Linked DNA regions of Astyanax mexicanus. The protein of the gene in region 3 binds, or shares a complex with, the protein of the main gene of each other region. Links are inferred from orthologs where the notes say so. Each region holds a gene or a part of one and is shown on either strand. Other genes may lie near its edges. The genes, in order: thoc3, thoc6, thoc5 and thoc7.

Region 1 (7,608 bases), on a different chromosome or scaffold from region 3:
ATTCTCACATGCAGTTCTCTCACTTTTCTCCGCAGATGAGATGGATGGTCAGATCAGCAAGGTTTCCTCGAACGATAGCCTAAATGGTCGACACAGTTCTGACTCAGGTAAAGACACGGACGGGCCAGGGAGTAGCTCTCTCTCCACCAGCGACACTGGCTCCAGAAGCAGCACAGACTCCGGCAAAGAACCACCCACAGCCCGCAGGAGCTCAGACTTCGGCACAGAGCCAAGCGGAACCAAACCGAGAGCTTCCGTCCAGAGATCCCTTTCTGAGAAAAGACCTGCAGAACTGGTCAACAACAAAAGCCCCTGCAACCGGTAAAGCTACTTCTGCAGTTGTCATTACATAGTGGAAAATAATATTTTTTTCTTTATTTAATTGGTATTTGTATGTCTGATTTTTTTCAGAACACTTTATTCTTATTATTATCTGCATTGTAGATTCTTATTAAAGACATCAAAACTACGAAGGAAGACATACAAAATTATTTAATAAACAAAAAGATGTCATGTTTTACACTTTAAATTCCTTTTGTTTTGATGCCAACTTTGCTTACTCTTGACATTATTATCTCAGTTGGCTTTATGAGATAGAACCTGGAATGGTTCTCTCTTAAAGGAGTTCTATATGTGCTCAGCTCTTGTTTTATCTGCTTTTCCTTCACTCTGCACTCCAACTCATCCCAAACCACCTGGGTTTGTCAGGTGTTTGTAAAGGTCAAACACTTTTTGTCTACTAATTTAATTACATATGTGTTCCTTCATTGTAAGTATTTTAAGTATTTAATATTAATCTACAATTTAGAAATAATACAAATAAAGGACAGATTACACTGTATGTCTTCTAATGTATTTACATAATGTCTCTTGGTGTGTCACAGGGTGCAGAAGAATGAAGAGGAAGAGAAGAGTGAGCAACCCAATGGGATCAGCCACCCCACACACAATGAGGACCTGCAGGCCTCTCTCAGCTCCTCAGCAGATGGCCCTAACGATGCAAATGGCAGCGTGGACGCTGAGTGTTAACGGAAGGCAAGCACTAGCAGGACAGCTGCAGCATTTGCACAGAAATCTTGTTTTTTAATTTCTATTTATTATTCCAAATTATGCACAGGTTCAGTTTTAGGTATTCAGAGCACAAACTGTCTGATTGTGTGGGTTTGTATCCACTAATGAACACCCTTTATATAGATCTATCCTGCATTTTGGGAACTTAAAGGAAACCTACTTTATTCCTGTTGGGAAATGATCATTTGCTCCTCTGTAAAGTATCTTTTGGAAAGTGGGTTTTGCCAGAACGTGTACCATGCACTTGCAAGAAAATGCAACATATGAAATGCATTGCTACAAAGCCTTTCCAAAGGAAATATTCAAACACACAAAGTGACCCCTTTTCTGTTTGCATCAGCCATTAGCAGGATTTGCCAGAGACTTATAGAAGCAATCCTGCACGGCAACTTGTATGGGACATTATCCAAAGTTTATTTTGCCTAGTACAAAGCTTAGGTAATGTCTGAGTTAGGTCAGATGTGAATTAAGCAAGTCATTTTCCAGATTTTTCACAGCAGGTCGTTTCGTGCCTCCTGCACATGCAATGCAGGTGCTACCCCTTGCCTAAACCACAGAACTTTCCGGTAGTCAGAAAATCTCCATCAGTATGTCACGTGTGCAAGAGCAGCTCCAGATTGTCCGGACCTGACAGTTCCTACTCTTGAATACAGTAATTTACCATAATTTTATGTTGTTCAAACACAACCTTTAAATTTGTCCATGATTTTGTGTAGTGAGGATTATTAGGTCTAAAATTGATATCACAAGAGTTTGACTGTAATAAACCTGTATCAATCTTAATCATGATGTGCACTAAACATTAATAAGGAAAGAATTCACATAAAACATGATGTTGCAGTTGAGAGGCAATTCTCTAATCTAGAGAAAAACATCTTTGTATTTAGCCTAATTAACACAACACCTCAAGTTGGTCATCAGCTCATCTAGCTATAAAGTGCCTAGAGGGCATTAAGGCCTTAAAACCTCAGTTAAGGCATTAAGACCTTGCTTGTAGAATTTAGGTCAACATGATGCAATTTGGCATCATACATGCCAAAAATACCACATGCACACCATAAATCTAACAACAAACAACAGCTAATTACCTATCGCAATAACAAAAGGCTGTACGTTACTACACTGCTAAGCTCATCATCAGCTTGATTTCCATGTTCAAAAAGTAAAATGTAATCAAAGACCATTGTTTACAATGCAAAAACTCAATCCTGAATCAGACTGAAAACAGTACAGCACACCAAGGCACTTCTGCTGTTATATCTGAGGCTCTGTGGTTCAGTTTCTGAACCTTCCTCATTAGATGCAAATACAAGTCATGCAAGTGCTCTGAAAGACATAGATAAGCATGTAGGAGATACTGTAGATTAGGATATATACAATCTACCTCCTCCTAGACCAACTCACCTCCTAGCTATCTGTAATTGTACCGGTTCTTTACATTGTGACAATAAAGTGAACGTTCTTAAGGATTGACATGCTATTCTCCAATGTCTTCCACCTGTTTTCCCGAGTTTTTGCACTGCAGTGAATTCACTGCTTGGGGATTGTATGACATTTGCTTGGTTTCACATGTAATGTTGTGTAATGTTAAGGTAGAGGTAGGTGGGCTGTAAGGGGTTTTTATAACCTCTCCAAACAATGCAATATCATCTGATCATTCTTTTTATGATGTGCAACAGCCAGGAGATAGAGGAGATTGTCACTGCTTTCACAGAGCGATACTGTATCAGCCTGTAAAGAATTGAACTGTTGTGCTCTACTAGGGTTTATTACATCACCCACTGAGATCTGAATTCTGATATACTGTACATGGCACATTAAAACTGTTTCATATTAAACTTGACAATTTTAAGAGACTGTTCTTGTCCAGCAATGAACTGACCCAAGTCAGTAACTGTGGGATGTTTACTGGCCTTACTGCAACACCATATGGTTCTGCTCCGCCTGCATGCCGTCCAGGCTGTAAGAAGTTAAGGATTCACTCGGGATGCTATCTGACTGTTGTGATCTTAAAACGTGTGTATGTTTGCGTGTGTGTGTTTTGAAGCTACAAAAAATGAGTGCACCTTTTAATTTAAAAATCATGTTATTCTCCTGCACCGTACCTTTTAAACTGGACTGAATAAACATGAAGAACTACCCAGGTGTTTTGAAGTGTGATATTTCCACAACCTTTTACATCATAAAAGCCACCATTTAAAACAGGCCAACATTAAATATTTTGTGACATCACAAAAACAACGAATTAAAAAAATTACAATTGATCTTTAGTGACATTACAAAAACATATTCAAAAGAGGTCTCAACAACTCTTTTGTGACATCTCAAAACAATTAATTAAAAAGCAGGCCAAAAAATACTGAATTCTTGTGTCTTGAAACCATTTGGATTGGTCTCTTCTTGCACTCAGTAGACCTATGAGTATTCTCTGTTGGTGGGAATCACACTTGTCTGCTCTCTCTTTAACAGTGTTTAGTGTAGTTCTGCAGGGCAGAGGGTTGGAATGCAGGGTATATAATATCCATTATATGCCTGTATCGCCCTGTGTTTAACTGTCCGGTGGAAAAAAACAACGTAAGACGTGTTAAGATACATTTGCAGGTTCTCATTAGAGAAAGAAAAAAACTTGTTTTCATCTCAAAACAATGACTTAGCATCTCAAAATACTAGGATAGCATTTCATAATAAGGACTTACTATCTCAAAAAGAGATAGTATCTGAAAATAATGACTTTCTATCTCAAAACAATTAGATAGTATCTCAAAATAGCAACTTAGTATCTCAAAATAAAGATTTACTATCTCAAATTAGCTATAGTATCTCAAAATAACGACTTACTATTTGAAAATAATAAATAATGAGATAAGGACTTACTATCTCAAAATAATTAGATAGTATCTCAAAATAGCAACTTAGTATTTTAATATAACGACTTACTATCTCAAAATAATTAGATAGTATCTCAAAAAAGCAACTTAGTATCTCAAAATAACGACTTACTATCTCAAAATAATTAGATAGTATCTCAAAAAAGCAACTTAGTATCTCAAAATAACGATTTTCTATCTCAAATTTGCTATAGTATCTCAAAATAATAACTATCTGAAAACAATAAAAAATAATGAGATAGTATCTCAAAATAATGACTTACTATCTGAAAACAATAAAAAATAATGAGATAGTATCTCAAAATAGCAACTTAGTATCTCAAAATAACGACTTACTATCTTAAAATAATTAGATAGTATCTCAAAATAGCAACTTAGTATCTTAAAATAACGACTTACTATCTCAAAATAATAAAAACAAATAATGAGATTATCTCAAAATAATGAGCTAGTATTTCAAAATAATAAGATAGTATCTTAAAAATAACGAATTAGTATGTCAAAATAATGACTCTCTCTAAATAATTGAGATATTATTTGAAGTGGCGGTTATGGTCTTTCACAGGGAAAGCGTGTATTTCAGTGTGTTTCTCCGAGTCGCCAGGCGGCGCTGGTCTTCAGTTCCGGGTAAAAAAACACCGGGCCAGTTTAAAGGAAGCAGCGGTGAAAATGGCGTCCTCCTACTTTCATGAGATGCAGGAGAATTTCAGGAATAACAACAAGAGCCGCGAGTTTCCCGCTCACAGCGCTAAAGTCCACTCCGTCGCCTGGAGCTGCGACGGGAGGCGGCTGGCCTCGGGCTCGTTTGATAAAACAGCGAGTGTGTTTGTGCTGGAGAAAGACCGGCTGGTGAGATCCTGCACTCAGTCCACTCAGAGATCTGATAGAGCTGCAGCGCTTCCCTGAGCTTTACTGTCTCTGATTCAGTCATACAGATTCATTAATCGGTTTATTCATTACCTGCAGCAGTGTGACTGTGATGCTCTATTATTTATCATTAGTACTAATGATAAATAGTTAACCCGATAGAGTAGAAGTGTGAAATATTTTTACAGACGTCCCCGTGATAAACTTAGCCCATCCAGATAGGGCTTCCTGTATTCTGCAGCTACAAATGTAGGTGTTTTATTAAGTATTAAGCCTTATCCGGACGGGATTAGTTTTTGTATTTTTGGAAAGTTTCCTCCTCAGAGATTAACCCTATTTCTGGACTACACAGCATTTAGAATAGAGATTTTCCATTAAAGGTAAAAAATATAGTCAATTACTGGATATCTGACAGTTGTATTTGGATACAGTGAAGAGTAGCTAAAGCACTTTTTATAAAAAGTCTCTCTAAAGAAGAGCATCTGCTACAGGCCAGATATGTAAATGTATATTTCTAACCACCTCACAGGTGAAGGAGAATAACTACAGAGGTCATGGAGACAGTGTTGACCAGCTGTGTTGGCACCCAACCAACCCGGATCTGTTTGTCACTGCTTCTGGGGACAAGACCATTCGGATCTGGGATGTCCGCACTACTAAATGCATGGCCACGGTCAGCACCAAAGGTGAGACTCAAAACAAACATTTTGACTTAGGTTCACAACTATACCAGCTTTGTTATACACATGTCTTCTCATTCAGTGTGTTTTCTTTCTCTTTACGATGTTTTACATTGTAAATGTAATATGTCAAAGACTATATTAAAGCTGTACAGGAATGCATGGTGATATATTTTGTAAACAAAAAGTGTTAAACAAACCAGAATATGGTTTTATACTTTAGATTCTTCTAAGCAGCACATTTAGAGTTGATGACAGATCTGCACACTCTTGGTATTTTAATCTTCGTGTCTTCATGATGGAGAGTCACCTGGTATAGTTTTCGCAGCATCTTGAATGAGTTTCTGGAGGTGCTGAACAATAGTTGTTGCTTTTCGTTCACACTGTGAGGCTCCAGCTCATCCCAAATCACCTCAAATCACCATCTCAGTTAATCAGGTTTAGATCAGTGGATTGTGGAGGTCAAATCCTTTTTTTTGTTTACTACATAATTCTGTAAATTGTCCTTTAATCGATTTCATGTCTTTTTATTAATTTGCAATATAGAAAATTAATTATATAAAGAAAAACATTGAATAGGAAGAAAGGTGTGTCCAAACACTGTGAATTATGGCTGGGTGAGGTGTCTGAAAAAACTCATCTCTTCATATGCTCAGAAGTAATATCAGTATACAGTTGAATATAATAAAACCCTCATGTACAGTGTATGTTAAATGTATTAGTGTATTTCTGTAAATGCATTATGTTGTGTATTTAAAATACTGCTGTATACATATATACATAAAGTTGCACTGGTTGCACAGTGTTTCACTGACTCAACAAACTGCACTGAATTATGTTTAACATGGTGAAATAAGGTTGTTTAAATATGACAATACTACCACATAATTTGCCAAAGACTTAAACTGTGCTGAGACACCCCTCCAGTAATAAAACCATGCACACAAAAATAACCCCATGCATGTTCTTTTTAAGGAATTCCAGCGCTTTCATACTCGCCACAACATTATGAAAATTATTATTAAAACTATTACAAGCTCTGAAAACAGCTACCTGAAACTTTGCTGTTAGCATAAATGCACAAATACATTCAGTTGTGCAAAAACGTATGTTTTTATGGTTTTAGGAGAGAACATTAACATATGTTGGAGTCCTGATGGTCAGACCATAGCTGTGGGGAATAAGGATGATGTGGTTACTTTTATTGATGCTAAAACTCACCGCCCACGTGCTGAAGAACAGTTCAAGTTTGAGGTCAACGAAATTTCCTGGAACAACGATAATGATATGTTCTTTTTGACTAATGGTAATGGCTGCATCAACATTTTGAGGTAAGCATTGTTTCTTTTGTGGTATTTGCATGAATTACTTAATTTCTGTCCCTGATGTACTATAACCCTCAACCCTAACAACTCAGCAGCACCGCCTTAATTTAATTTAATTGAACATAGTTAAGTGGGAGTTAAAACAGTTTGCTTTTATATTTCTGTGTATACATGTCCAGGTTGGGAATGAATATTATTGATTCATTTTTCTTTTACAGTTACCCTGAACTAAAGCTCATTCAGTCAATAAATGCTCATCCGTCCAACTGCATCTGCATCAAATTTGATCCCACTGGCAAGTATTTTGCTACTGGAAGTGCAGATGCTCTGGTCAGTCTGTGGGATGTTGACGAGTTGGTGTGTGTTCGCTGTTTCTCAAGGTAAGTTTCTTTATGGCAAACAATTGACATTAATATTAATTTGTTTCTCCTTTCAGCTAAAATAATATTACCACATGTAGTCTGCTTCAAGTTGCGTCTATTGATAACATGCTTATCATAGTGTGCAATGAAACTCTTGGTTTCAGAAAGAACTTAAACAGCATCTGTCGCAGTAAGTTTGTCCACATTGTCCATATTTTTCGCACTATAAGGCGCACTTTTAATAAACATCTTTTTTCTGGTCTATTTTTATACATAGGGTGCAGCGGATTATATAAAAAAAAAAAAAAAACAACACATTTTAGCATTTTAGATTAGTCCGATTAGCACTGGATGTTAATGTACACAGATTTCTCTTGTGAAAACTGTTTATTTGGGTGAGTAAAGTGCTTCCATT
Region 2 (7,014 bases), on a different chromosome or scaffold from region 3:
GTTAGAATGGGCTTCTGGCTCAGATCTGTGGCATCTGGACTCAGTGCTGCTGAGAGACTGCATGGGGAAAAATGATACAATACAATATCAAACAATCATTAAAAATTAATATGAATTAAATAAAAAGATTTCATATTTTGGCTGATTTAAGAGTGCACAATGTATTTTATTTTCTGATACTGATACTAAAGGTTCCAACATGCAACAGTTCCAAACATTCTTCATTTATTATTTCCCCAAAAGCAAATAAAGTGTTTATTTTATCATCATCATTTTAATCTGCTGCAGCTAAAGACTGGAATTTGTTGCAAAAAATCACTTTACACACATTAAGTCAACTTTTAAGAAGTCTAACATGTTTAACTGTTTTGTGACTGAATCTTAGCTCATGTGTGTATGTGGCCCAGTAATCCTACAGCTTTGGTCAGAGTGCCATTATCATGCAATACTGACACTCACAAAATGTCTCTCAGCCAATAACTTTGCAGGGTCAGAACTAGGTGTGGTATAATCTAATATATATTATAGCACTAGTTCTGCCTTTCTTGACCATTTTTGTTATCTTTATTTAGCATTGACCTAACTGTTGAATACAAAGGCCCAGTCTAATTTCTCTTTTGTACCAATACCACTTGTTTTCTTTTTATCCAAGTGGTAAAAATCCTCCCCTACCCTAAAAAATGGAACGACTCTTCAAACAGTAGCACTTCTAATAGGTAACTAGTGGTGCTCTGTAGGCAACTCTCCTGGATAATTTCAGCTACTTTGCTGCTGAACTTCAGTTCAATTCAGGGCATTATACCTCTCTCCCTAAATTAATCACTTTTAACCAATTCTGAAATACTCTAATGAGCATGTAACCTGTTATAGTATGGAACCAACACATCTTATTCAGTGCTTATTAGCTCACCTAAATATGGCGATCTCTCCATAGTTATTACCAGCTGCAAGAAAGCGTCCGCAGGGAGAAAAACTCTGGGAGAACACGGACATGTGGAGAAGCTGTGGAGGGAGAACAGTGTGGTTATTACAATGTGTGTTAACTTGGGAAAGTGAAAAGACTAAGACATTGAAGTTTTTCTTCCAACACTGCTAACTTCTTTTTTTTCTATATCTAATATACGATAAATTGTGACTCAACAGATAATAGCTAAATACATCAAGCAAGATGATCTTCTAAAGAGTTTTTAGTGTTCAATGGCCACCAACAGGTAGAAAGAAAGGGAATGATTGTGTGGCCTAAAAGGTTTAGATATGTCTCTTTTACTGTTGATGGTTATGGCTTAAAGCTAATTAAACCCAAAAATCAGTGTCTCAGAAAATTAGAATATGATATAAGACCACCCAGTATTTTGGCAGTGTGGGCAGTGTGCCAAGTCCTGCTGGAAAATGAAATCTGCATCACCATAAATGTTAACAGCAGAGGGAATAAAGTGCTGTAAAACACCAGCAGATGACCTAGTTCTCCAAACAATCAGTGACCATCAGTAAATTTTGCATTTCATTTAGAAATCAAGGGACCAGAGTCTGGAAGAAGAGTGGAGAGACACAGTCCAAGCTGCTTGAGGTCTAGTGTGAAGTTTCTACAATCAGTGATGGTTTGGAGAGACAGGTCATCTGCTGGTGTTGATCAACTGTGTTCTATCAAGTCTAAAGTCAGTGCAGTGTTTTCCCACAGAATTTTACAGCACTTCATGCTTCCCTTTGCTGGCAACTTTTATGGAGATGTGGAGATATGGGGATTTCATTTTCCAGCAGGACTTGGCACACTGCCAAAAGTACCAATTGGTCTTATATAATATTTTAATTTTCTGAGATATTGACTTTTGGGTTGTCATTGGCTGTAAATCATAATCATCAACAATAAAAGAAATAAATTAAAACAAAAAAAGCATAAATTTCAGAACTTTTCAATGATATTCAATTTACATGCACCTGTACCTAACAAGCTACAAAACTCGTTTATTTTTCATAGTGAAGCTCCTTCAGTCAACTGTGCACCACTGCTAGAATAAAAATAAATTTGGGATGCAGCCATTGTCAGTGCTTGCTCAAAAACTACAGTAACTAGCTAGCAACAACCAACTAAACATATCCTTTTTTTTTAAACCTCTAGAATATAATCAAGAGGAAGATGGATGATCATAAGCCATTAATTCAAGCTTAACTGCTTGAATTTTTGCACCAGGAGTGGCATAAAGTTATCCAAAAGTAGTGCATGAAAACTGTGATTAAAAACCAGGGTTACTTCACCAAATATTGATTTCTGTACTCTTAAAACTTTATGAATGTGAACTTGATTTCTTTGCATTATTTGAGGTCTGAAACCTCTGCATTTTTTTTCAGCCATTTCTCATTTTCTGCAAATAAATGCTCTAAATGAAAACATTTTTACTTGGAATTTGGGAGAAACGTTGTCCGTAGTTTATAGAACAAAACAACAATGTTCATTTTACTCAAACATATGCCTATAAATGGAAAAATAAAAGAAACTGATTCAGAAACTGAAGTGGTCTCTTAATTTTTTCCAGAGCTGTATAGTGAGCTAGATAACCCAGTTAACTGTTAGCTAGCTAACTAGTTGGTTGATATTTCTCCATTAATGAAGCAAGCAAATACTCATAAATAAACAACAGCAACACAAATAAGACCAGACCACCTTTTAGAAAAGTGGTAAATTTAAATCACCCCAGTTTAGCTGAGTTAGTAAATAGAGAAGGTATCTATTAGGTTAGCTAGGTTAGTTAGCGTTAGCAAGGCTATCTTGCCCACTAGAGAGTCAGCAGTGCTAACAGCGGGCGCTGTGCGGTCCTACACCGGGCTCTTACAGGCGGGCTGTAGTGTTTATATGTTTATATGAGCTGTAGGAGAGGCGGTGTGTGGTGTTTACCTCTACAGGACCCATACTGAGAGGAGGAATCGCCGCTGTGCTGAAACTGAGCTGTAAAACCACTGCAGCTCTTCAGCCGCTTCAGTTTAAACACTGTCGCTGGAAAGTGACGTTACAGAGAAAAGGGGCGGGGCTTATGTTCTGATAACCTGAATGAATTACTGAGAAATCAATATAGTAATTTACTCCACTCGTTAAGAGGGTCTCTGAGATATGGAGGTAGATGGTAGATACTGTGGTAATGGGCAGTATATGTGTATATATATACAGCTCTCAGCTCTTGTATATAATCAGCTTCTCTGATTTTGCTATTTATAGCTATAAATAAATAGTTTAATAATAGTTAAAGTAAAACGAACACTGTTTTTTTATTCTATAAAATACAGACAACATTTCTCCAAAATTCCAAATAAAAATATTGTCTTTTAGAGCATTTATTTGAAGAAACTGAGAAATGGCTGAAATAACAAAAAAGATGCAGAGCCTTCAGACCTCAAATAATGCAAAGAAAACAAGTTTTAAGAGTGCAGAAATCAATATTTGGTGGAATAACCCTTTCATGCATCTTGGCATGTTCTCCTCCACCAGTCTTACACACTGCTTTTGGATAACGTTATGCCCCTTCTGGTGCAAAAAAATCAAGCAGTTCAGTTTGTTTTGATGGCTTGTGGTCATCCGTCTTTCTCTTGATTATATTCCAGAGGTTTTCAATTTGGTAAATTTAGCTGTAAATTTAATATATTAACTCCCACATTAGAAATAAAACAATTATTTTTTATATATAAGGTTAGTACACTTCCCAGGTCAGCTTTTGTTTGAAGGACTGTGACATCCCATTAAAATGTATTTATACTTCGTTCTTCATAAAGACAAAACACAACATTTTACATCCATCCAATGTTTTTTGTTTCAAATATTTGTTTACTATTTTGTTTGATTTACAAGTACATAATATACACAAATTACAACAGAGAACCCTCCACCTTTTTCTGTTTTCTAATAAATAAAGTCATGCAACTGATTAAAAAAAACAATAGGTGAACAGTATTGATTTTGTTCTTCCACACAAAAAGTTGGGTATGTGCACTGAGCTGTTTAGTTTCTAATCAGTTTGTTGGCGCAGCTGTTTTTTCCATTACCAAAATATCAGCCTGGCAGAAATTTACCTGACCACACCTCACCTTCAAAACACCACACCCATCAGCATAGATATATTCGTAAACTTGCTATTTTAACAGCACATGGCATGAGACTCTCAAAATCCTTAACAGGTTATATCCATCTGTTCCAGAAAACATGAACAACTGATCCAGTACAAATTTCATGCAATGTATTTTTACACATTTTTATACATTAATGTTTCTACACACTGCCCTTGCTCTGTTTGGTGGAGCAAGATAACATTTAGAATATGTATTTGTTAAATGTGATTTTGATTCATGCCACTTATTATTTCTCAGCTTTTAACAAGCTTGTTAATGATTATTAACGAGTCCATTGTTTTTTCTTCTATGTTTTGTTTAACTAATTGTTGACCGCTGGGTAAGTTGTAAGTTGTAAGTTGTTGGTACTTTTAGAGAAGTTCATCAGTTAAAGCCACAGATTCGTTTTTTTTGTGCAGACCTTGTATATGCATATACATCTCTTGAAGAAACTGAAGACAGAAAAGTTGTACTTACTTTCAATACTCTGTTTTTCGTATTTAACTTTAATATTATTAATTTATTCATTTACAATTTTGTATTTATATCATTTTTTTTTACTTTCAGACTGTGTGAAAAGTTTTAGAACAGACTTAATTCACTGTTGTAAATAAGGGATGTTTATTGAGGGTAAACATATTTTGGTTTTCAAAGAAAATGAAAACATGGACATGCGAGCTTCCACCTTGAATGTGTTTGAGGGTCGGGAGCTTAAAGTTGTAGGACTGTGGCAGTGTGTGTATGTGTGTGTGTGTGTGTGTTTCTTTGAAAGTTGGCCCGTAACTAAGCAAGTGTTAATAATGTGAGATTTAAAGTTTAGGCGCTAGGTGTCGCTATCACATAAACCTAATCTAAAACGCTCCTCATCTCCTTTCCTTCCTTCATTATGCCTACATTCAGAGTTGCCAGGTTGGCGGTTTTTCCGCAAAATTGGGCTTGTTTGAAAATCCAGTTGCGGGTGAAAATTTAGGGGCGACTTTTAAAAATTACCGTGGCAAAAAAGTCACAAGAAACAAACAAAGAAAATCACAGTTTAAATCACAAGAAGATAAAAAATGTTAAAAGAGGAGAAAAGAGAGTTACGGAGGGGCAAGTACAGAAATGAGTAAGTAAAAGTAAGTTTTTTTTTTTGCTAATTATGTTGCTATTAAATGTTCTTGACTGGAATATAAAACTGTTATAAAAAAACTAATAAAATACTGTTACAATATTAGTACTGACTTTAAGATAAATAATTTGTTTATAAATTCCTTATAAACAAAATACTACGTCGTAGTACTAAGTAATAGACATATTTTGGGCTAGTTTAAGCTTCTGAAGAGCAAGTTTTAGACTGACTTTGGGCTGGATATTTTTCTTGGATCTGGCAACCCTGCCTACATTAACGTTCCTGAGCTTTTAGTAAAACATGGCAACTCAAAAAAAAAGACGGAAAATTGACTGCAAATGCAGAAACGTTCAAAGGGAAGTGTGCATATGTCAGGAAAAAGTTGCCATAATAACATACCTGTCAAGTTTTGGACTTAAAAATAAGGGAAATTTTCCGTCACCTGCTTCGAGTCGCCCACCAACCCAACCGAGGTTCAGAATCCCTTATATTTTAAGACAGGTTTACAATAAATCTAAAATAACCACCTGGGAACATTTTACAAACTACAATTAGATTATCAGAATCTGACAGGTCTATCTTTGTTGACACTGAAATGTTGTGGACATTCCTACATATGTAATTCTTATAATACAGCCTAAGTTAAACCCTTTTCTAGACATTTACATGAAATCATCAGCTTTTACAAAAATGACATGGACCAGATATATTGCATAAGTAAATATTAGTCCAAAGGGGCCTAAACAATTAATAATTTAATTAATACTTCTTTCTATTGATCAGTCCAGTCCTGTCAGTCAGTTAATTTCAGCCCTCTTCACATTTTCTCTCTCTCCAGATCAACCATCTCTTCTGCCCCTTCTAAATAATAAATTACACCACAATACTCTTAAACTAGCCCTGAACTAATAAAATAAATACAGTTTCGTTCATTATAGCTTACAGTAGGCCTGCAAACCTAAATTAATAAACACAGTTTGAAAATGAAATAGTTATTGGCTGATCAGGGCAGGTTGAACATCTAATTGTAAAGTTAAGCTAACTGAGTCACAAGCTGTATTTTCTTAAGCACACAGTCGGTTTGATCCGACTGTTTCAGAAACAACGTCATCATAGTTTACATGTTTAGCTCCGTTACCTCGCTATATATCCAGATATGCTTTAACGTCAGCTGCTCCGACTAGCTCTCACAGCGAGGGGGGCGGGGCTTTCCTACATTGCGCTCTGCGAAACCAGGAACCTGATTGGCTGTTTCACCTGAAAGGCGGGACTTTCTCCTTGAACCGGCACTACCATTGGTTAAGAGACACACAGTGACCAGTGCCCTGTCGCCTCAATAGTAAAGTTTTTTTTTTTAATATAATACGGGAAATTTACGGGAAAATACTAATACGGGAGGACGGCGGGAAAGAGGAGTAAAATACGGTAGTTTCCCGGCCAAAACGGGAGACTTGACAGGTATGTAATGAAGGATTATAATATTAAGAGACATTATGAAATGAAACACCAATTTGAAAAATCTTAGTTTACACAACACTATTAATGATAGTAACTCAAGTAAAATGATGTGTAAATGATAATCAATAAAATGTATTATTATAAGAAGTATATTTCATACTATTATTATTATATATTATTATTATATATATATTATTATATATATTTCATACTATTATTATTACAGAGTCTATGGCCGTGACTGTACATATATTTCTCCTTCTGGCCCCAAAAAACAAGCTTGGACACCCCTGCTTTAAACGATGTGAAAAGCTCCTTATTGTCCTTTACTTTAACTCATGAATTTCCTAAGTGAT
Region 3 (7,297 bases):
CAGTCACCTGTAATATGAAATTGCACATTTCAGTAAAGGTGTCTGTACATGACAAGCAATTTATTTACAAAAATTTATGGATTTTTGAGCACATTGTGTAAAGAACCAAATTAAGTTCATCCATGAACATCAAATAAAGTGTTTGGTTCCTCACCTTTTGGAAATGAAGATCGTTGGCAAGGTGACGCCGAGGCCTGGAGCAGGTAAGAGTTCCAGTAAGGCACATCATGCTGCAGACAGCCAACAGCACAACGCTCACCAGCATCAGATGATATCTAGCTAGTGCTTTCTCTTCCTAGGAAGGGAGATGCAGCAGAAAGGTTAGTACATTGTATGAAAAGACACCATTTCCAGCTGCGCACTGATCAAGGAACTGCTACAAGATAGTGGACAATTAAAGACTGGATCAAAGAGAAAAATACTATGATATACGATGTTGGTGTAAAGGGCAAGGTATGTAAAACAAAACATGATTATCCCATGTGTGAACCCAAAAACATGGGTTGATGGGAAAGACAATCTAGCAGATTCCTAGGATTCCTTGATGATCAGGTTCTACATTCTGAAAGCAGGTAAAGTGGCAACTATGTTGACATTTGTCTGAACAGATTATGCTAATAAATTGACGTGTGAGTGCACAAAATTTTTTCATGCTTATTGTTGCACATGTAGAACTGTCACATTAGGATTAATGCATGCATTTCAGTCTAGCTATTTAGATAGTGGGGCATTAATGCTTACTAGCTATTTACCCGAAAAGCCTATGTTCATACTGCTGGTATGAGGGAGTTCTGAAAATGTCTGTCCAACACTGATAATTGCAAGTGATCATACGGAATTTGCATGTTTAGGCGTCACAAACCTATCTGCATAGGTTGCTTTAGTAACAACATGGCCGACAGTAACCTGGCCATGCTGTTGGATCTCCAGACTTTTGTTACTCTGGATTTGATGTGGTTACTGTTGCGTTGCGAGTGATGCAAAAGACATTTTAAAATGGTTTGGGCAGTTAGAACATCCACAGTCTTTAGAAGTTGTCTGAAAAATCCACATTAAATCCAAATGTTCCAAACTGTATTTCTTTTTGCCGCCTTCTTTTTTGCGGTCTAAACTATCAAATAAATCTGAATACAAGGTACATATGCAAAAAGCCAAAACCAGAACAAAAAATGTTTTTCAGTGTCCTTTTCCCACTCACACTACCACACAGACTCACAAAACAGTCTGCATTATGTTAAAAGTAAAGTAAGGTTTATCAACTCACTGTACAATAACAGTAAAAAACAAAAAAAGATTTCCTTCATGCACATGTACATTAAAAAAACACTTGTAACAAGATGGAAAACTATACATTAGTCTCAGAATCTTCCCAAAAATAGCTTATTGTGGAGTGAGTGTCAGGGATCAGAACAAAAGTAAATTTACTACAAAGTAAGTTGCAGGAAACCAGAAACATAAAATTCTCCTCACATCAGCAAAAGTTTTGTACAGGTGGTGGTAGTGGTTTGTGATTGTGTCTAAAAAGATGCATAAAAGTGCTTGTCTGACAAGGAAGAATCTTTTAGTAAGTTTATTTTTTAAACCGATGGACTGAAATTTAAAGTTGACTATTACCCGTTTCTGGGGTGTGCGCGTCCACATGCTATAGTAACTGGGTAATATGCACTTTTTATATAAGAATGTTAGGACCACCTCTACGACTTACCATCTACGAGGTAGATCTAGCTAGCTAGGTAGCTGTCTAATGGAGTAAACAGTGTTTAAGAACTCCAGCAGCACTGCTGTGTCTGTTCAAGACATTAACACAATCACTGTGTCAGTAGTGTTGAGAATAACCTAACAACCCAAATGCCTGCTCTATGATAGGCCTGTGAAGTCCTGGCTATTGACGAATAGGGTAAATAGAAGAGGACAAAGCATGAGAAATCGAAAGGACTACATTCTGTAATTTAAAAACTATAAATCTTCTTATAATCAGTAAGCAGACAAGATGGACAGTAGAAAAAAGAATATGACCATAATATTCAAATTTGTTATGATATTTGATCATATGTTTTTTACCTGAGTAAGTAGCACAGTCAGTTTGGGGTCAGGTGTAAACTTTAAGATGAGGCATGGAGATGCATTATCAGAATCCTGCCTGTATGATTCTGTAGCAAAGACTCTGACAGGAGAAATATCCTTCTCTGGGTTGTAGTTTGCAGGGCATTCTGGAGGTTCCCTGAAAATATACTCAATTCAGCATACAGGTATATAATCTAAAAAAAAAACACACATTTATGAACTTCTATTTGGTAGTTGCTTACGATCTCAGCGGGAGAAGGTGAGCTGGAGCTGAAATTTTCAAGCAGGACATGGAAGGCTTCGTTTCAGCCTCAGTAGGCAATTTTGGATCAAAGGCAGAGTTAGAGACTGTGCTTGATATTTGAGATTGGAGGTGCAAGAACAAAGATATGTTAAATAACTCCTTTCCAGCAACACCTGGGGAGAGAAAAGGTTCAATAAATGAACGCTGGACAGTTTTTGAAAAATCAATCCAATGAATAGCATTCATTTTTATAGACCAAATACAGGAGCACATACACACCCTTTAGGCCTAACTGGCTTCCCAATAATGTAGCACTAATGCTGTTGTGACTTGGATCATTTTCAGTGCACACCAGAGGTACAAGTAGGGACACATGAACAACTCCTCTAGTGTCTTGGGAAGCATTTGAGAAGGTTCCAACTCCATGATCTAATAGCAGAGGGGATTCATCCTCTTGTTTCCCACCCAACAGGTCTGTATTGTTTACATCTGTGCAGTACCTCAGGCTTGCAATTGATCCCAGTATTTGATTCCAGTCCTAAAACAAATATAGAGGACTCTTTTAGGCCTATAGAAACATTTAGTAAAATTAGATAAAATTCTGATTTACAGAAGTGCATTGCAGGGAATAGATGACTAGAAACATGTGGTAATACATGTTTGTTATCCAAAGTAATGGATGATTGATCACCAAGGATCTTTAGACAGACTTATATCATATCAATGTTGTTGCACCAGCATTATTATTAAGCTGTATAAAACTATGAATAGTAAATATTACATTGTGTGACAAACCAGTTCCTTTAGGGTCTAGCCTTCTAGCCTCAGTACTCTGATAAACATATACAAACATAGTTACCAAGCTGATGTCTGGGTTCTTAATGTCATGTTGTTTCGAGTATATCCCAATTCCAATAAAGGCTCCAGCCAGGATCAGCAGGCAGAGAAAAAAAACAACAACAGGCGGATGATGGACAAGTTTAAACCTCAGATTTGTTACAGGCTGCCACTGAGCCATGGTGTGTTACAAAAACCCTCAACACAAGCACCACCTGAAACACATACAAGTAAGAGTATTGGCAGGTATGTAAGCTGACTTTAACTGATTAGAATATTAATCAATGATCTAATCAGACCTTTGAGCTAAAAAAAACCGTACCTTTCATTTGCTTAAGTTAGCTATCCCAGAGGAATACTGGGCAATGAACCTGAGCAGAGTGAACAATACGTTATATTGTTTTAGAGTCAACACTGCACAGATACTACCGATTAGACGTTAAAAGCAATGTTAACTCTTTAAGTACAACAATAGTAAGTACACACTTGACTTCCTCAGGTGGGAGCGAAGAGGGACTTTAGTTCATGTTTCAAAATAAAAGTCCTGCTGGGATTAGAGTGACGTTGCAACAGACATAGTAAATAAGCGAATTTAATGATTTGCAACGTCTTTTCATAGATTAGACTTACTTTTTGATACGTTAAGAACGGCGTGTTTTAAGTGCATGTGGAAACAAAACACGAGTTTACACATTGAAATGCTTTTCACGAAAAGTTATATTTTTCAATGTGGGACGTTAAGTTGACCGTTGAATAAAGAACACTTCTGGGCAACAACTACATTATTTAATAGTAAATACCAGCAGCCATAAAGAACAGCTCTGCAGTTTTTTTTTTAATTTCTGCATTTTCTGCAAATAAATGCTCTAAATGACAATATTTTTATTTGGAATTTATTATTATTTTTTATTCAAACATATACCTATAAATAGCAAACTAATTCAGAAACTGAAGTGGTCTCAGAGCTGTATATCTAGTATTTTATTATTATTATTATTATTATTATTATTATTATTATTATTATTATTATTATTATTATTATTATTATTCTCTGTTTTTAAGGGTAAAGGTTAAAATTATAGATTTACTGAGGCAAACAAAAGTACTTAACAGACGAAGTATACCACCAATTCAGCTCCTTTTTAAAAGAGACTTTTATTTTAACCAGGGTTCAGATACAGATTCACCGTAGTCTCTGAATTCACACATCGTTCCCCTCTGTCCGCGCTGCTGAGGTAATTGTTTTATATAGTCTAAAATATCTCACGCCTGATTAAAGTGTGATTATTGAAGCTAAGTATTTTTGATGTCTGTTATTTAAGTTTATGTAAATAAATCTCCGTTTATACTAAATGTGAGGGGCCGTGGCGGTATTTGCGCTGTATTAGTTAGTTAGTCGGTGGATCCTGTGAGCTCCAGTCTTTCCTCTCAAAATTTTATCTCTTACATTATTTATTTAAAAAGTTACACAGATATTTCCAAACATCTCACTGGGGCGGGTTTATCCATCCAAATGCGTTCTGATTAATAGCAAAACACTGTGCTTAGAGACCCAGTTCCAAATATTAGCAAGCTAACATTGCATTAGCAGGCTAACATTAGCATTTCTTATTCCGAAGGTCCATGCTGCTAGTTAGGTTATCTCTTGATCTATCTAGCTAGGTACAAAGTTAGTTAGGTTAAGGATTTGGTAATAGAGGTGGGTGATATGGCCCTAAAATAACCACGAAATTTCATGGTATTTTTGCGATAGTGATTCTTTTGGTGATGACAAAACACATAGAATTTTAGTTTCAGTATGACCTATTAGAGTGTTAAATAACTAAATGTGAAAGCTCATTTTTGCACTGATATCCCTGCACTACATGCATTTTTGTAACTAGGTTGTTGTTTTTCATGTAAAAATTAACTTGTCAAAATCGAACAGTCACTTAGTGCATGTAAATGATTTTAAACCAATGCCTTTGAGCCAAAAACAATACAAAAATATATTGATTGTGTACATGCAGTGTCTAGTAGCCTGACTCAGTTTTTATCTCCCATGATTTAAATATCAACATGCCATCTAATTTCAAAATAGTGTGTTAAGATGTGCAGCATCTGGCGCTAAACATTATCTGTCACTTCTATGTATTTTTAAAATGTACTTAATGTGCCAGTTGACAAAATACACTGCTTGTCCTAAAAAAGGTCACACAGATTTTTCACCTATAAATTTGATTACAGTGGCATTGTTTCCACAAGCTTATGTAATGTCAAAACATTTAGTTCCAATTATGTGAGTTTACTTCACATTGTGTGTGTGGAAATGCTCTTACTTTCACTAGTGAACATATCCCTGAGTTCTTTGATTTAATTTGGCAATTTTTTTCTAGCCATGTCTTCTGACACTCTGAAAAAGCGCAAGGCAAAAGTAATCCGGAGTGATGGCGGGACTCCTGAAACTAAACGAGGTCGAGGTGAAGGGGATCAGGTCAGTGGTATCTTCCTTCTCTTAATTATGACAATTTTGGAGAGACTGTTCTGTTTTCTCAGAAACTGATTCCATGTACATAGCTGTTATATATTTTTTGTAGGAGTAAGACTTCAGTAGGATTCAGTTTTGCTCTATCCATTTAGCATTTTGACATCCAAGTGTCCAGAGGGTGTACAAGGGTGTTACATGCTTATATTTAACACCCTTAAAGCTGTAGACTTTAGGTTGTATTTAGAGTGAATAGTAAATGTTGGAGATTCTTTGATGCCACACTCATGTGAAATGTATTGGTAGGGAAGATTTCCAGCTGGAGTCTCCAATGTGGACCAGAAGAAGCTGTTGTCAGTGAAGAACAAGGTCCAGCAAAAGTCTCTCTGCTCTAATTTCTATTCTTTAAAAAAAGACTTACATAGCCTATTTCTGGTGCACCCACCTCTTTGTATGTACACACTTGGGTGAGAGCAGGGTATAAAATGCTAAATTTGTGATAGAGTAGGTAAGAGAGAGAGGTTTGTTCAGACATTGCCTGTTTTTGGTATAAAGAGCTAGTAAAGGTGAATATTTGCTACCTCTATGTATTCCTGAGTGCTTGTTTTCATTAGGAGGTGCGTGTGTATAACGAGGAGGTGGAATTGGAAGGCAGAGACCCGGAACAGGATTACGTCCTTTATAAAAGTACCTGTGACTCCTTGGCAAAACTAATGGCTGAAATACAAGAACTTAAAGCCAATGGTGCAAAAGAAGGAGTAAGTTTCTTTCTTTTTTAAAAAAAAAAATAAACCCAGGCTAAGATGAAAGGAGTGTTGATGCTAAACAGCATAACTAAAATGCCCATGTTTGTATATACAGAGTGAGGAGGTGGAGGAGAAGCTCAGACAAGGTTGTGTTCATTTCATTACCCTGAAGAAGCTGAATCGTTTGGCACACATGAGACTGAAGAAAGGACGTGATCAGACGCATGAGGTACTCACAAGAAACACCCTTTTTCGTCTCTTCCTTTTCTAGTTTATTTGCACATAGTCTCTCACCCACCCACTGCTTTTCTTCTGTTTCTTCAGGCGAAGCAGAAAGTGGATGTGCTGCATCTGCAGCTTCAGAATCTTTTGTATGAGGTCATGCATCTTCAGAAAGAAATTGGCAAATGCCTTGAGTTTAAGTAAGTTATTGTCCTTTTAAAAACATACTACTGTATGTTTTTGTACAAACTTGAGCAGCTTGTTCCCAAAAAATCTCATTCATAAAATTATCATAAATTAATCATAATTTACGTAAATTATCAATTAACTGTAAATACTTACCACAGGCAGTCTACCAAAGCGAGTAAAAAGGTGCTCTTGCATTAGAATGTATAATTTAAACATATGCAAACATTGAAAGCTACCAAGGAACTTTCCAAAGAAAAGTTAATATTCAAATAAGCAGGTGGTCCTTTCACTGTTATTTTTGCTTAATGTAGTCAGATATCAATCAACTCGACTTAAGTTTAGGGATGGTAGGATGATCTGTGCTTGTGAAATGTGGTTAAAACATACACGACCAGGATTGAGCACTCAAGTTTTGGTCTTTAAAACTCAAACAGATCTCAGTATGTTATTGTGCACCCAGCACATTTGTAAGTAGAATTGTATTTTAGATGGTTAATGTTTATGTTACAAAGCGTATATGTGTGTATACGT
Region 4 (6,921 bases), on a different chromosome or scaffold from region 3:
AACATTCAAAGCATTAATATAACATGTTTTCTAAAATATTTCACTACTGTATTATTTATAAATAACTTTAATGACTAATTACATAGACATACTGATCAGGGAACACACTGCCGTAAAATTTAGAACACCCCAATTGTTTCTTCTTTATTTTATGCCATTTAAGCTCTTCAGGTCCAGTAAATAACCAGAAATGGCACAAAATCCCGATTTTTACAAAATTTTGCAGATTGTGTTACTGCAATCTTTACTGTAGCATTTACACAGCACATTCACACTTTTATTATTATAACTAGAAGAATACATCTGAAAGACCTCAGACAACTCTGTTACTATTAAAAGTAGAAGTCTTTTCTTTAAAGAAAAGAAATTTAAATTTCTTTAAATTAAAGAAATAACAGATGAAGCCAGAGAGCGGTGAGTACTGTTTCCTACACTATCAGAAGACTGGTACAGGAAGAGTTCTGGCTGACCCACATGGCAACAGCTTTAGCTTTTAGCTCATCTTAACAGTAGACCAAGTCTCAGTTTTAGCAGTCAAGAGAGGAATTACAGGTCTGACAGATAAAATGCAATAATAAAGTCACTGCTAAGATGAGAAAATAAAAAAGCAGCTTATCTAGGACAAACATAATTGCTGCTTTTGATTGGAAGTGTATGTCATACTCTAAAAACAAAGGAGGCTTATTTATCCTTCTTATTCATTCAGGGAAATTTTACTCAAGTTAAACTGATAAAATAACCAAACCTTGACGGTTCTTTCGTATCCTCTTAGCCCTCTGGATTTCTTTCTTGCACTCTGCTATCTTCTCATGTGCTGATGATATGCTCTGCCCTGTGATGTGGAAAAGACATGTTTCATGGTTACATCAAACAATATGTAAAATGTAATACTTTAAACCTCTGATTCTGAATCAATAAAATCCTCACCAATGTCAGAGTAAATCTTTTCATAGTTCTCCATTTCTCTCAGGTTCATATCGTACACCAGCAGCGTCTTTCCCATGGAGAACTCGCACTGCGTCAAGGTTCCCAGCATCCTCTGATACTGTGTAAACCTGCAGGAAAGAGGACAGAAATTCAGCAAATGTGAGCAGAAGAGGCCCTGGTGTAGATCTTCGATCTTCAACAATGCTCCTCACCCTGTTTTTAGCAAGCTACCTTCATGCAGACCTCAGATCTTATTCAAACTTATCTATCGCAACTTTATGACTGTGTTCAGAAGTGAGAATGAGCTTTGAATGAATCAAATGGGTGCTGGGTTCAAATGTATGAATGGTAGAGTCACCTGCCGTCTTCAAACAAACACTAAAGACCAATTTCTTGCAAGATGAGCACAATTTTTACACTTATTACAGCAGGGTTTTTAATCCTAGTCACGTCGCACTTCTGCCCTGCAAATGTATGGTTTTCCCTTCTCCCTTCACACCTGATTAATCTAACCAGGTCCTTAATTTGCCCTTTCAGAGTTGCAATGTGTGTATTAACGCAGGCAATCCTCTGAAATATGCTGGAGAGGAGGGTCCTTAATCCCAGTATTGAAGAACATTGGACTGAAGGCTGCACTCATGACTGAAAAGTCTCAGAGCATTGTGCATTTTGATATCCATACTGGCAACAAAATTAGCTAGGGATATTTTTTGAATAATCAGCAGAGTAAATCAAATTATATAAAGGATCTGTTGAACGAAATTACCCTTCTTCTGGCGTCACATTTGAGTGACACCATTTGATGAAGCTCTTCAGCAGCACATTTATACGCCGGTCATCTCCAGCACCATCTCCATCAATGAGGAGGCGCTTCCGGATGACCTCATCTGATAAAAGACACAGTTGTATACAAAAGTTTACAAAAGTTTCATTCATATGCAGATGCCAATATTACAAAGGTATATACAGTATCTGCCAATGCCGAAAAATACATATTTATATTAATTAATACTACCAATTAACTATTAAGTAGGCCTGGTAGATTAAAAAAAAAATCTTGGATGGTTTTGATATAATATAATTTTCTCTTACATAAATAATTGTATCGCCATTACTGTTATTATTATTATTATTATTATTATTATTGTTGTTGTTATAAAAGGGGGAAATGCAGACCTAAATTAACATTTATTTATATTAATAAATACTACCATTTAACTATTAAGTAGGCCAGGTAGATTTTAAAAATATATATTGGATAGTCTTCATATAATATAATTTTCTGTTACATAAATAATTTTATCGCCATTACTGTTATTATTATTGTTGTTATAAAAGGGGGAAAATGCAGACCTAAATTAACGTTTATTTATATTAATAGATACTACCATTTAAATATATGAGGTGGGCCAGGTAGACTTAAAAAAACTATTGAACGGTTTTGATATGATATAATTTCCTTTTATATAAATATTACACAGTACTCATCACAGTGCATATCATTTAGAATCCTAATAGCGACCTAGCTGTTATCCATAGCTGTTACTGTAGCTCATATTCATGCAGTTTAATGCAATAATATCAGAGAATTTCTATTTTATTCTTTTTATAAGAGCCACACAGTGAGATCTGTTGTAGTTCTGCTGCAGCCTAAGTAACGTTAATGAATGAATTAACTAAGCTATATTAATATAGTTATCAATTTTTAATTAAATGTTTCCGTCGTTGTGAGAAAGCCTCATTTTATATACCAGTGTTTAAACCCGTATGTAAACTGTACATTAGCTTATTAGCTCCTAATTTACCTCAGAGAGCTAAGCTAAGCTAAGCTAGTTAGCTAAACAGTTAACCGGCTCGCTATTAGTTTATTTACAGCTTTTTTTAATCTGTTTCCGTAACCTGTATGACCTCTATAGTCTGTAAACACTCATATTCTCTTCAATTCCCGTGAAATATCCATAAAAATCGCTAAAAATAAAGCATTAATCCAACATAAATAATCAGAATCTCACCGTCAGTTATGCTCCCCATTTGTCCAACCTCCTGTACTGTAGCTTAGAGACTGACGTTCACCACAGACCCTGTATCAGGGAGACGGACCACTTAATGAACCCCTACCAACCAATCAACATATTATTTATTAAATTACGTTATTTAAAATTCTGTGATTTATTCAATATTACCTTAATATTGCAAATATAATATATAAATAGGGTTACCACCATGAAAATGAAAATTTAAAACATGAGGGACGCCCACCAGCTCCACATATTTAATATAATGGATATAAATAATAAATAAATATATTTTAAATAATACTTTTTTTCTCTTAACAAATGTCTTTATTTATTTATTAACTGTTAATGCATTAGTATAATTAGTAGTTTTTTTTTAATTGCCACATATAATATTTATATTGACTAATACTACTGTATATTAAATAAATGATCACTGTTTTTATGTTAAAATAGTCTACTATTTTTTTTTTATGTGTGTATACGTTTTGCAAAATCAAAAAACTAAAACTAAAGTAAAGTAAACTAAATCAAACCAAACCAAACCACCAAAGATCGCTTCCAAGTGAGTCCAAAATGAATGGGTTCATATGGAGCAAGTAAGCAAAATCATAGTATAGAAATGTTTGATTTTTATTTAAATATAATAATGAAATTTCCCTGAACACAGAAGAATATCAAATGTTTCAGTAATAAATACACATTTCTATTTTTTAGTTTTTAGTTTAGTTTAGTTTTTAAGTAACTTATAACTTATAAAACTATATAAAACGTTTGATCCTGCATCAGATCTAAAAACTGAAAACTTAATAGTATATTTTCTTTCTTTTCTGGGGAAATACATTATTTTACTTTTCTGAAATTAAAGAAATGTCCTGAACACGTAGTTATTTACTATTTTAGTTATTTTTTTAGCCGTTTAGCTCCATTCACCCCATTCCTTGAGGACTCACTCGCGGGCGCCCTCTAGCGGTTCATATTAATGTTCTGATATGAAGTGGGCAGGCTCGCCATAAACCAGCTCTGGTCTCACCATAACTTTACCAACACAAGCAGAGCGCCCCCTTCCATTCATTCACCTCAGACCCCCAGCTATTAAATATCTATGTGTTAGGTTAAATACAACATATACATAATATTGTTCTTTTAAAATATAAATATAAAATATTTAATTCAAAAATATTATGTTCAGGTTTCCTATTCACCGTTAAAAAAAGCATATTTTCACTACACTATGTTCTTTAAGCGATTAAATAAAAGGAAAAGAAAAAAAAACCTTTAGGTTCCATTAAGGACGACTGTAATAGAAATGCGTGAGTGCAAAAACATGTGCAGTCTCAAAATAACAACAAAGGATCTCCAAAACAATGAGAGAATATATCAATGACTTTATTTTCTTAATAATTAGAAAGTTTAGCAAACTTTAAAAGTGATTTATCATCTTATATTTATAACAAATAATTTAAAAAAACGAAACAATGCCTTATCATCTCAAAAGAATTAGTCTTAGCATCTCAAAAGCTCTAAGAAGTATTTTAAAATAATAAAAAATAAACTCAGAATATAAATAAATTATGTCAAAATGATTACATGGCCTCGCAAAATAAGGAAACATTATCTCAAAATAATGAGCATCTAAAAAAACACCCCTGCAGGCACGTATAACGTAACATTTTTGTACATTAATGTGAATAAAATGTGAATTTTAGCAGCTTCTCAAGACTAGGATACCTTCACTGAACCACCTCCAAAATCTCCACCATTCAGGGCTCGTCCCCTACTGATAAGTGATGGAATGTTTACTATAATATAAAGTTTACTTCTTAATAATTAAGACTATAGGCTGTTAATACTACATAATTATTCAGTCGTATTATTGTTTTGTATTGTGTTTTTAGTCAGTAATCCATTGGTCATCTCAAAGTAATGACTTCTCATATCAAACTAAACCAAAAATGTAAAAAAAAAATCAGGTAGTTAACAGTTCAGTTTAATAGCGATGGATTATATTAACCAATTTGTTTATTATTATTATTATTATTATTATTATTATTATTATTATTATTATTATTATTATTATTTAATACTCTGACAGTAGTAGGGTTGCGCAGCAACAGGGGAGGGAGGGTAGACGAAGCGAAGAGGGGCGGTTGGTGAGCGCGCGCCTGTCCGCGCATGCGCTCGCAGGCCGCTACGGTGACGCGCTCGTCCCAGAATGCTGCGTGGTAAACAGACATGGACGCACCTGGTGGAGACCTCCTCCTCCACAGCCACTGAGCGCAGACCGCGGCCGCTCCCCCGCTTCACTCCGCTCCCCGGGCCCCGCGAGCGTGTCCAGCCGGCGCAGGGTCGCGCGCAGGCAGACGCTCGGTGTGGGCGGCAGGCGCGCTCCCGCGGGGGGCGCAAGGACGGTAAGGTAAGGGGACGCGGAGAGCGGATAGCGCTGCTAGCTGCTAATGGCTGTCCGGGCTTTTTCTGCTAGTAGTTAACCTAGCTCCAAATGGCTGCAGCTGTTAGCACCAGCAGTAGAAACAGCAGCGGAGCTAACATGCTACAACCCCCCCTCCCTCCTCTCTTCCTCCTCCTCCTCCTCCTCCTGCTGCTCTCTGAATGTCACTAACATTTTATTTTGGTGACGTAATTCTTCTCCAACTTTAATCAGCGCTGTTAGCTGGGTGACGGACCCCCGAGCCTGAGCCCGAGCCAGAGCCCTGGTTGTCAGAAAGTCCTGAGCCCGCTCGCAGTTGTTTATAGTTAGTTAGCTTTAGTTATATTTGTGCTGCTGTTTTCTGCCTGCTTTCATTGCTTTCACTCTCTCAGTGCACTTGTTCAGCTGGAGCAACACCACCAGCAGCCTTCTGTCTATTAAAACCTCCGAGCTGCAGCTCTGTAGATAAATGGGGCTCTCCTGACAGGAGGGAGAAAACTAACATACAGCTCTGGAAAAAAACATAAGAGACCACTTCAGTTTCTGAATCAGTTTTTCTGATTTTTTTATTTATAGGTTTATGTTTGAGTAAAATTTACATTGTTGTTTTTTCTATAAACTACAGAAAACATTTCTCCCAAATTCCAAATAAAAATATTGTCATTTAGAGCATTTATTTGCATAAATGAGAAATGGCTAAAATAACAAAAAAATATGCAAATAAGCTTTCAGAACTCAAATAATGCACAGAAAACAAGTTCATATTCATAAAGTTTTAAGAGTTCAAACATTTTGTCACAGTTGTCAAAAGTTTTTAAACAGTTTTCATGCATCTTGGCATGTTCTCCTCCACCAGTCTCACACACTGCTTTTGGATAACTTTATGTTTATGCCTGTAATCATCCGTCTTCCTCTTGATTATATTCCAGATGTCTTCAATTTGGTAAAACCAAAGAAAAAACATGTTTTTGGTAAAACCATTTTTAAGTGGCTCTTCATTTTTTCCAGGGCTGTATTTAGTTTAGCTAAGCTACTTCTGTAAGATGACTTTGTGGGAGGCAGATTTGGAAGTGAAACCATGTGTCTAAGCTAAGCTAACCCAAGTTGTTGACTTGTTGTGGACTACCAGTGTCAGTTAAGAGTGTGCCAATATATTGTGATACAAGGCAATGCAAGTTTATTCGGTAACACTTTACTTGGACGGTCCATTTTATTATGGCCTTGTTGATGTTCAACTGACAATCAACTGAATGTCTATTACATGCAACATAAACCTATGTGAATGTAAATGATTTAAAATAAAATCTAACCCTACACCTAACCTTAACCATTAATCAACCCTAAAATCCAACCCTACACCTTACCCTAACCTTAACCATTAAACGCCCTTAAAATCTACCCTAAACCCAATCCTAAAATGTTAAGATTAGTTTTTGGGTTAGAGTTAAATGTAGGGTTACATTCATTAGAGAATCATGTACTTTTACTTTTCAGTTGCAATTGAATGTTATTTGACTATCAATGAGGACATCAAATAGACCATCCAGGTAA

The links.
Region 1: thoc5 (region 3) and thoc3 share a complex: the UniProt entries of both Homo sapiens proteins name them as parts of the transcription/export (TREX) complex. The link is inferred for Astyanax mexicanus from reciprocal best matches to the Homo sapiens genes THOC5 and THOC3.
Region 2: the proteins of thoc5 (region 3) and thoc6 are in contact, whole or in part, in a cryo-EM structure (PDB 7APK), measured with the Homo sapiens proteins. The link is inferred for Astyanax mexicanus from reciprocal best matches to the Homo sapiens genes THOC5 and THOC6. Residues at the interface, in NP_001002877.1 of Homo sapiens: Pro406, Gly407, Asp538, Ile539, Val540, Asp541, Ala542, Gly543, Leu544, Ser575, Ile576, Ser593, Asp596, Arg599, Glu602, Gly603, Asn606, Val607, Tyr609, Arg660, Phe662, Arg663, Gly664, Pro665, Ser666, Arg667; in NP_001334633.1 of Homo sapiens: Val5, Pro6, Ala8, Val9, Pro10, Leu11, Gly12, Gln13, Val16, Phe17, Leu20, Gln21, Leu23, His24, Met25, Thr26, Phe28, Tyr45, Tyr80, Asp94, Glu125, Val126, Pro127, Glu128, Asn130, Gly146, Tyr170, His172, Glu188, Trp222.
Region 4: the proteins of thoc5 (region 3) and thoc7 are in contact, whole or in part, in a cryo-EM structure (PDB 7APK), measured with the Homo sapiens proteins. The link is inferred for Astyanax mexicanus from reciprocal best matches to the Homo sapiens genes THOC5 and THOC7. Residues at the interface, in NP_001002877.1 of Homo sapiens: Pro48, Asp51, Tyr52, Tyr55, Cys59, Leu62, Gln63, Met66, Ala67, Gln70, Phe95, Lys99, Leu101, Asn102, Ala105, His106, Arg108, Leu109, Gly112, Arg113, Gln115, Thr116, Ala119, Lys120, Val123, Tyr126, His127, Leu130, Leu133, Glu136; in NP_079351.2 of Homo sapiens: Ala21, Asp23, Ile27, Leu30, Val31, Phe34, Tyr50, Met53, Leu54, Leu57, Cys60, Glu61, Met64, Gly65, Thr67, Leu68, Val70, Tyr71, Asn74, Met78, Tyr81, Ile84, Tyr85, Ile88, Glu89, Ser91, Ile92, Ala95, His96, Lys98.

What each region holds. Positions count from the first base shown.
Region 1 is NC_064417.1:38,820,571-38,828,178, forward strand, and holds the start of thoc3 (THO complex subunit 3), read left to right. Parts: upstream 1-4,591; 5' UTR 4,592-4,628; coding exon 4,629-4,808; intron 4,809-5,355; coding exon 5,356-5,512; intron 5,513-6,632; coding exon 6,633-6,837; intron 6,838-7,049; coding exon 7,050-7,211; intron 7,212-7,608. Other genes in the region: shtn3 (shootin-1), read left to right, coding at 36-321, 885-1,029. UniProt on the Homo sapiens protein: Component of the THO subcomplex of the TREX complex which is thought to couple mRNA transcription, processing and nuclear export, and which specifically associates with spliced mRNA and not with unspliced pre-mRNA.
Region 2 is NC_064426.1:19,838,837-19,845,850, forward strand, and holds the start of thoc6 (THO complex subunit 6 homolog), read right to left. Parts: upstream 3,002-7,014; 5' UTR 2,906-3,001; coding exon 2,891-2,905; intron 1,003-2,890; coding exon 911-1,002; intron 58-910; coding exon 1-57. UniProt on the Homo sapiens protein: Component of the THO subcomplex of the TREX complex which is thought to couple mRNA transcription, processing and nuclear export, and which specifically associates with spliced mRNA and not with unspliced pre-mRNA.
Region 3 is NC_064409.1:52,841,162-52,848,458, reverse strand, and holds the start of thoc5 (THO complex subunit 5 homolog), read left to right. Parts: upstream 1-4,275; 5' UTR 4,276-4,380; intron 4,381-5,520; 5' UTR 5,521-5,522; coding exon 5,523-5,618; intron 5,619-5,915; coding exon 5,916-5,978; intron 5,979-6,223; coding exon 6,224-6,367; intron 6,368-6,470; coding exon 6,471-6,584; intron 6,585-6,679; coding exon 6,680-6,777; intron 6,778-7,297. Other genes in the region: zgc:158398 (transmembrane protein 248), read right to left, coding at 1-7, 155-295, 2,062-2,221, 2,307-2,481, 2,588-2,846, 3,168-3,326. UniProt on the Homo sapiens protein: Component of the THO subcomplex of the TREX complex which is thought to couple mRNA transcription, processing and nuclear export, and which specifically associates with spliced mRNA and not with unspliced pre-mRNA.
Region 4 is NC_064431.1:26,148,892-26,155,812, forward strand, and holds the start of thoc7 (THO complex subunit 7 homolog), read right to left. Parts: upstream 3,009-6,921; 5' UTR 2,959-3,008; coding exon 2,940-2,958; intron 1,815-2,939; coding exon 1,694-1,814; intron 1,056-1,693; coding exon 928-1,055; intron 833-927; coding exon 746-832; intron 1-745. UniProt on the Homo sapiens protein: Component of the THO subcomplex of the TREX complex which is thought to couple mRNA transcription, processing and nuclear export, and which specifically associates with spliced mRNA and not with unspliced pre-mRNA.